2 linked regions of the Sus scrofa genome follow. The protein of the gene in region 1 purifies or fractionates together with the protein of each later gene. This does not show direct contact. Links are inferred from orthologs where the notes say so. Each region holds a gene or a part of one and is shown in the gene's direction. Other genes may lie near its edges.

Region 1 (4,537 bases):
GGTTTAAGCCCCAGCCTGGCCCCTGCCCGACCCAGAAGCACGTGGCTGGAGGTGAGCTTCTAGAGGGCAGGGTGGGGGCCAGGTGTCCTGACCCAGGCGGGGCAGGTATCTGGACAGCCATGCCCGGCCCAGGCAAGCAGGAGCAGGCCTGCCTGAGAGCTGCCGGGGTCTGTGAGTCACCAGTGTGACGAGGTGGCAGGTGCTTAGGGAGGCCAGAGGTCTGCTCCCTCCACTGGGTCCTCGCTGCGGCTTCTCTCACCGTGACAGGGGCTCTGGGTGAGAAGCCTTTCCTGGGAGGCAGGGCAGATGGGAGCCCAAGCCCCCTCTGGAGCTGCTGAGCCCACAGCTCAGGGAGTCCCAGGGCAGGGATGGAGCCCTCTCTCCTGCCGCCTCCCCCAGCCCCCAGGGGGTGAAACCGGAACCCCCAGGTTCAAGGTGGGGACACTCTTGCTGGAACATGGTGATCATTTTGGGGTCCTCTTCCAAGGGGGCCCATCTCGGCCCATTAGGCATCCGGGCTCAGGGCCTGGCGGTGTCTGGGGCCTTTGCCCACATGACCGGAGAGCGGCCAGAAGCCGAGAAGCCCTCCGGACACCGCCGCCCTGCTTCTCACCTCCCTTCTCACAGACACCCCCACCCCACCCCCACTCCACGCTGCTGCTACCCGCCCTGTCCACCCCCTCCTGGTCCCGGGCCAGCGTCACTCAGCTGGTCGCTGGACACGCTCTAGGTCACGCTCTCCCCAACCCCCAGCAATCTGACCTGTTGTCGGCCCGACCCCCTCCCTTCCCCAACAGGTCACCTGCCACCGCCCAGAGGCTCAGGCCAACAGACAAGCTTCCGCCCCCCTCGCTCGCTTCTTGAGCATCCCAAGAGTCACGTGGAGGGAACAAAAAACCGGCTGACATCTCCAACAACTAAGCCATTGGTCGCCTCGACGCAGGGCTGGGAGAGCACAAGGTCTGGTCCCTGGGCTAGTTTCCCGCGTACAGCCCCCCCCGCCGCCCCCCCAACAAAATCAAGTGTGAGAGCTGGAGGCGGCTGAGACCGGCGCGGGGCCAGTAAAGGGTGCGATCTAGGTGCGGGCGGTGGATCGAGAGGCCCGAGGCTGCGGGAGCCGACAGGCGCGGCGCGCTGCCAGGGTGCAGGAAGGCAGGGCCCGAGCGGAGAAGGGGGACGGGGGGAGGGATGCCGATTTCGGCTGGGGGCGGGGAAGCCCCTGATAGGCGCGCGGCAGGCGTGATGTCACGTCCGGCGGGGGAAGCCCTGCCTCAGCACCCCCGCCCCCGCCCCCACAGGTGGTGCCGCCGCCCCGGGCGCTGGGCGTGGGGGGCGCGCCCTCCGGGACCCCAGCCGCGGCCCGCGCGCTCCCGGCCACCCAGCTTCCCTCCAGCAGTCGACGGATCGGCGCGAGCCAGGCGGTCCCCCGGGCCCGGGGAGCGGGAGGGGCGCCCGGTGCGCCCCGGATCGCGCCCCCGCGCCGCGCCGCGCCGCGCCCCGCCCCGCCCCGCGCGCCCCGCCCCGCCCCGCGCGCCCCTCCCCGCCCCTCTCCCGGGCCGCCGAGGGGCCGGGCCGGGACTGCGCGCTCGCCCGCCGCGCTCTGGGCCGCCCGAGCGAGCGGCCGGTCCTCGCGCCCCGCGCGCCCCGCGCCCCGCCGCCGCCGGCTTTTGTTGTCTCCTCCTCCCCTGCGGCCGGCGCCTCTGGACCGCGAGCCGAGTGCGCCGGGACCTTGGCTCTGCCCTTCGCGGGCCGGGGCTGCGCGGGCCCGGCCGGGGGCGCCGCCGGCCCCGCCATGGAGCTCCGGGCCCGAGGCTGGTGGCTGCTGTGCGCGGCCGCCGCGCTGGCCGCCTGCGCTCGCGGGGACCCTGCCAGCAAGAGTCGGAGCTGCGGCGAAGTCCGCCAGATCTACGGGGCCAAGGGCTTCAGCCTGAGCGACGTGCCCCAGGCGGAGATCTCGGGTGAGTGACCCGGCGCGCCCGGGGCTCCCCTGCGCCCCCTCCTCTCTCCCGCTCCGCGCTGATCCGCCCCCCGCCGCCCTCCCTCCGCCCAAGTCTCCGCGGCACCTCTCGATGGTCCCCGCGCCCCCAACACGCACCCCGGCCCCTTCCCGGCGGGGCTGTCCTCGCCGGGCAGTGGACCGGGCGGTCCCCAGCTCGGCGCGTCCTCCCGGGCAGGCAGGACTGAGCGGCGGGGCCGGCTGTCGGGGGGCAGCTGGCGGTGGCCACGGGCGACGGACTCCCACCGGCTGTGAGGGCCTCTCCGGGAAGCGCCTCGGGTCGCGCCGGGGGTTCCCGGGGTCTGCAGCTAAGGCAGCCTGGGCGCCGGCGAGGTGGGGAGCGAGCTGGGCGCTGGTGGGGCGGGAGCGGGGGGAGAAGGCGGAGGGGCACGACCTCTGCCACCGGGAGCGGAACGCCGGCTCGCAGGGATCCCTGCCGAGGAACTTGTGCTTGCCTGGCACTCCGGGCGCCTCCGGCGGGGAGTCCAGCTGCAGGTGGTCGGCGCCTTGGATCCCGCCCAGGGGCCATGTCATTTCTTTGTAAGAACATCGCCGTCCCAGGCGGCCTCAGCCCTGCAGCTGCCTGCAGTCCTGCCCACACCCTCCCTGCGGGCCTCTGAGGAGCTTTAGGGACAGAAGCGAGGGGAGGGGGTGGGGCACAGTGTCCTAAGAATTTCTCAAACCCCCCCAGGCTTCTTGCTCAAACTGCAAACATGTCCAGAAGCACACTAGATCTGCGCGTCTGTGCAGGGTGCCTGGGACTCAGTGGACGAGAGCGGACCAGGTTCCTGCCCTGAGGGACTGACTCCTCCCAAACTGGGGGTGGTGGCAGGGCTACCCTCAAGTGGTGACACGGGGGACATGGAATGACCATGGCCACAGGGATTCTGGATGAGAGGAGTGTGAGGGGCAGGTCCATGGCCATGCCTTGCTGGAGAATGGGGGTCGGGGCAGGGGGACAATCAGGCCCTGGACCCCTGCCCCCAGAAGGGCAGAACCCACGGCAGGCGCCTTAAGAGATTCCTGGACAGCCCACTGCCTGAGGCTCCAGAGAAACTTCCTCTCAAGGCCCCCCCCGCGCAGGCCTTCCTGCGCCTCTGCTGACTGAGCCCTGTCTTTAGGGCTGCCACCCTCCCAGGGGACAGGTCTGGTGGGCACATCTGGGTGCCCGAGGCAAGCGTGAGGCCCCCTGCACAGTTCGATTCCTGCCCCTCCCCCACTCAGCCCCACAGAGGAGCTGGGGGACCCCTGGCCTTTCCGGTGAATCTCTCCTGGACCCGGGGGTCTGCGGGCTGCTGAGCAGCTGCCCAGCTGCCCCACCCACCCTGATCTCGGACAGCACTCCCCCAGGGTCCCCTGGACCCCACAGCCCTCCTTCAGACGCCCGCTCCCACTCGGCCCCCTAAACTCGATGGCATCCCCAGGCCTCTGTCCCACTTAGGCTGAGACAGAGCGGCTGAGTTTGGGCGGCCGCCAAGGGCTGGGCTAGAGCAGGGCAGGCTGGAGAAAGTGACGTGGGGCTGGCAGGGACGCTGGGCCCTGGCCCCCTTGGGTTGGAGGGTGCTGCGGGTTAGGGACCCAGGACCAGCGAGACGCTTTGCTGTGGGTGAGATATGGGGGGGCGCGGTGCTGCTCAGCCGGCTGGGAGTTTGGCTGCCCAGCAGTGGCCCAAGCATCACGCCAGCCAGGGCTTCGAGGGCCACACACGCACACACACACACCCCCACCCCAGCCTGGACTGCGCACCGTCCCTGCCCGGGCCCCGTGGCCCCCTCACCCCTGCTCCAGGGGCTTCTGGGGAGCTGCTCTCCCCTCTGGCTGCACCCCCCCCCATGAACAGCTGAATTCGAGAGCACCTTGCCCGGTCCAGGCACCGAGGAGCGGGCCAGCCCCACGTGGGTGAAGGAAGCAGGGTGACCTCCCAGGCAGTGGCCAGTCCCGTGCCCTCCTGCGCTGGGCAGCTCGGCTTGGCCTCCGTGGACGGCGCGCCCTCTGGTGGCCCCGCGGTGGCACACTGCTCTAGGGAGCCCGGCCTCCCCGCCTCGCTGCTGCAGGCCCAGCGGCCGCTCCTCTCCAGCACGGGGACCCCTAGGGGTGGACGCGGGGTGAGAGTCCGGCCTGGGCCAGCTGCGGGGGTGGCGGCTGGGAGGGAGGGCGGCCCTGGTCTCAGGGTGGTCTTTCCACCTCTGCCTGCCCCACGGAGTGGCACCAGGGTGGGCTCATGAAAGACGACCCGTCCCCGCGCGCGGGGCTCCCCTTCAGGACTTGGAGCAGTTTTTTGGATGGCTGGCCAGGCCTGGCGGTGGTGAAGGCAGCAGACGGCCCATTTTACAGTGAGGCGGCCTGGGAGGCTGCAGTGGGCAGGCCACGGAGGCCACACACCTCAGGTCACCTCCCTCCAGCCAGAGCACCGCACGGAAAGTGAGGGCCAAGCCCACCCCGGAGGCTGGCCGAGCTGGGGAAAGACCCAGCCCCTGCTGCTTCCCCCCCTCCCTCTTTCCCTCTCTCCATCTCTCTCCCTCCCTCTCTCTCTCCATCTCT
Region 2 (3,804 bases), on another chromosome or scaffold:
ACTTTTTTTTTCTTTTAGCAGTTACGACGTGATACTGCACTTTCCCTGAATTTTTTTTTTTTTTTTTTGTCTTTTGTCTTTTTTGTTGTTATTGTTGTTGTTATTGTTGCTATTTCTTGGGCCGCTCCCGCGGCATATGGAGGTTCCCAGGCTAGGGGTTGAATCGGAGCTGTAGCCACCGGCCTACGCCAGAGCCACAGCAACGCGGGATCCGAGCCGCGTCTGCAACCTACACCACAGCTCACAGCAACGCCGGATCGTTAACCCACTGAGCAAGGGCAGGGATCGAACCCGCAACCTCGTGGTTCCTAGTCGGATTCGTTAACCACTGCGCCACGACGGGAACTCCCCCTGAATATTTTTTTAATGCTACTTCTCAATTTTATTTTTATTTTTTATTTTTTTACCTTTCCCCCCTGCCACTATACAGCATGGTGACCCAGTTACACATACATGTATACATTCTTTTTTCTCATGTTATCATGTTCCATCATAAGTGACTAGATATAGTTCCCAGTGCTGCACAGCAGGTTCTCATAGCCAGTCCCTTCCAAAGGCAATAGTCTGCATCCATTAATCCCAAGCTCCCAATCCCTCTCACTCCCTCCCCTTCCCCCTTGGCAACCACAAGTCTGTTCGCCAAGTCCATTATTTTCTTTTCTGTGGAAAGGTTCATTTGTGCCATATATTAGATTCCAGATAAAAGTGATATCATATGGTATTTGTCTTTCTCTTTCTCTTTCTGACTTACTTCACAGTATGAGAGTCTCTGATTCCATCCATGTTGCTGCAAATGGGATTATTTTGTTCTTTTTTACCGCTGAGTAGTATTCCACTATGTATATATACCACATTTTCCTAATCCAGTCATCTATCAGTGGACATTTGGATGGATTCTGTGTCTTGGCTATTGTGAATAGTGCTGCAGTGAACATGTGGGTGCATGCGTCTTTTTTAAGGAAAATTTTGTCCGGATATATGCCCAAGAGTGGGATTGCTGGGTCATGTAGTAGTTCTATGTATAGTTTTCTAAGGTACTTCCATACTGTTCTCTATAGTGGTTGTACCAGCTTACATTCCCACCACTAGTGCAGGAGGGTTCCCTTTTCTCCACACCCTCTCCAGCATTTGTTATTTGTGGACTTATTAATGATGGCCATTCTGACTAGTATGAGGTGATATCTCCCCTGAATACCTTAGTATGTATTCCCTACAAATGTTCCCTAGAAACTTTCCACAAGGCATACTACACAGTCACAGTACAACCATCAGAATCAGGAAGTTCATGTTGGTGGCTTCATGGACCTGTCCAGCAATTTCTCTTCCCCTTTGACCCTAGAGAAGAGCATAAACTCTGGAGCAGATTGCCTGGCTTTAGATCTCAGCTCTGTGTCTTAGTTGTCACTCAATCCCTGAATGCCTCAGTTTCTTTCTCATCTATTACAAAGGGTATGAGAATCACCCTTGCCTACTCCACAGGTCATTGTGAGGATTAGAGGGGTTGATGCTTAGATTAGTGGTTTGCATGCCATGAAAGCTATGTCAGTGTAGCTATAATAGTATTAATATTAGAGAAAAGGTAGCTGGCAGTAGAGTGAGTTTTAGAGTATTTTATAGTAGCCATGGACGAGATATCAGCGATCATAGACTACAGAATAAACTACGGATTGTTCAAATAACCCAGAATGTATTTTACTCTTATTTATTTATTGTTCTTCTCTTTTTAGATTTCACAATGACGTCCCTCTTGACTTACACTTTTAAAAGTCTTCCCAGTACATCAAAATGGGCCCTCAGATTTTGTAAGTTGTATTTGTTCTTTCTTTTTAAGATTAGCTTTGGATATGTAAGCGTCTTGCATAGACATGGTATTGTACTGCTTTTTGTAAGCACTTTATTTTGTCTTCCAGCTTTAAGACCTCTGAGCTCTTCCTCCCAGCTGCAAGCTGCCGCAGGTATAGTAATTTGTAAAAGAAACATTTTCTATTTAAATGTTAAATTCTGGAATCTAGATTTGTGAATTTTGAATAAACACCAAAACTAATTTGCTAACTCTCCCCTTTCTATAAGCAACCTGAACATCACTATTGCCTTCAAATTAAAACAGTATAGGACCAATCAATAATAATAGATTATGGTGTAGGGTTGGGCTCAAGGATGTTGGCAGGACTTTGCTTTCTGGGACTTGGAACCTGATGGAGTCACAGAGGTTCCATGAACCTTGCTGGTCAGTTTTCTCAGCTACTGGCTGTCAGCCCTGGAGATGATTAGCTCACAAACCCTCTGGAGACTATTGTGGAGCCCAGAGTTAACTTACTCAACTTCCAGTGACAGGTTTCTCTGTTAATGAGGTCCATGTGCAGAAGGACCTGTACCTGAAGTAGATGTGACCTTGAAACTAGTTAATGAAAGAAGGTTTAGTCAATATGAAATGAAAAAAGGATGGAAATTTGTTGATTTTGTATGGTCTTTTAGACCTTGGTAAACCCAATGAGTTAGACTTCTTCACTATTGAGTACATACTTTTGCAGAACTTGTTGTGGGTATGTGTCTTCAATGGCCAGTGCTAAACACCCTGACAGGTTCATACCATTATTCTCCTTGCCTGGGTCCTATATTGACCTATGATTTTTGAGTTTGGTGTCATTATGGTATTTCTACTTGGATAATAACTTAATAGAGAAAGTGCCTTACCAGGATTCGGAAGATACTACGCTGTTCCAGTTCTACTTCTTGTGGGGCTGTTTGGCCTTCAAGGGATACTTCCCTGTGCTTTAGTTTCTTTGTCTAAAAGAGAATTACAATTTTAGCCTTGTTAACCTCAAGTAAGTATGAATATATTTCAAAGAAGTTTGAAAACTATAAACCCAATATAAGTAAAAGATGGTATTTTTATATTGTTTTACATATAGTATATTTTCAGGGGTCTGTTGCCTAATCACACCTAGAAAAGTTTCATGTTGTCATATAACAAATATATTTTCTGAATTCTCTCAATTCTAACTAGAACGTAGATTAGTATTAACCTTACAACCAATTATTCCCTTCTCATTTCACCTTTTTCCTAATTTTGATGTTTATTCAGATCTTTTGCTTTGAGATCACACAGAGAGATCTGATTCTTGTCAGCTGGGAGATGGTCACATTGAATAGCAACAGAGGGAAGGCATTTTTGCTGGCTTTTGGAATATTCTTCTTTATATTGCTTTTAAACTATTTTTGTGTTTCTGTCTCCTCAACTATATTGTAAGCCTTCGTAAGACACAAGCTCTGGGGTCTAACACTGCCCTCAAGTGATTTGTGTTCATGTTGATGATGATAGTGGTGCAAGAAGATGTGTGATAAGACAGAGGAATGTGACCAGCTGATTTGAGGGGAGGGAGCAGGAGCGGGCATGTGCCCATGCTGAAGAGGTTTAGGTTGCAGTAATTTTATAGCTAATTTCTCTTCAAGCTCATGTGACTACTATACTTGATGGCACTCTTAGGATGAAGGAATTAGAGTGGTACTAATTTTATTGATGTTTTTAGTCATCAGATTGGAAATGTAAGTGAGAGAAATTATGACTTGTTCAGTAGTTATGTCTGTATATACTTTGCATCTTACTTGACTTTCATTCTGATAAACCCATCCTAAGTTGAAAATATTGTAAGTCGAAAATGCATTTAAGGAGTTCCCGTCGTGGCGCAGTGGTTAACGAATCCGACTAGGAACCATGAGGTTGCGGGTTCGATCCCTGCCCTTGCTCAGTGGGTTAACGATCCGGCGTTGCCGTGAGCTGTGGTGTAGGTCGCAGACGCGGCT

What was found.
Region 2: the proteins of GPC1 (region 1) and HADHB purify together in Homo sapiens (co-immunoprecipitation; 3 studies listed by BioGRID and IntAct, counting the BioPlex papers as one, with this or other methods). This does not show direct contact. The link is inferred for Sus scrofa from reciprocal best matches to the Homo sapiens genes GPC1 and HADHB.

What each region holds. Positions count from the first base shown.
Region 1 is NC_010457.5:139,456,401-139,460,937, forward strand, and holds the start of GPC1 (glypican-1), read left to right. Parts: upstream 1-1,465; 5' UTR 1,466-1,792; coding exon 1,793-1,958; intron 1,959-4,537. UniProt on the Homo sapiens protein: Cell surface proteoglycan that bears heparan sulfate. Binds, via the heparan sulfate side chains, alpha-4 (V) collagen and participates in Schwann cell myelination.
Region 2 is NC_010445.4:112,742,834-112,746,637, reverse strand, and holds part of HADHB (trifunctional enzyme subunit beta, mitochondrial), read left to right. Parts: intron 1-1,727; 5' UTR 1,728-1,735; coding exon 1,736-1,802; intron 1,803-1,910; coding exon 1,911-1,955; intron 1,956-3,804. UniProt on the Homo sapiens protein: Mitochondrial trifunctional enzyme catalyzes the last three of the four reactions of the mitochondrial beta-oxidation pathway.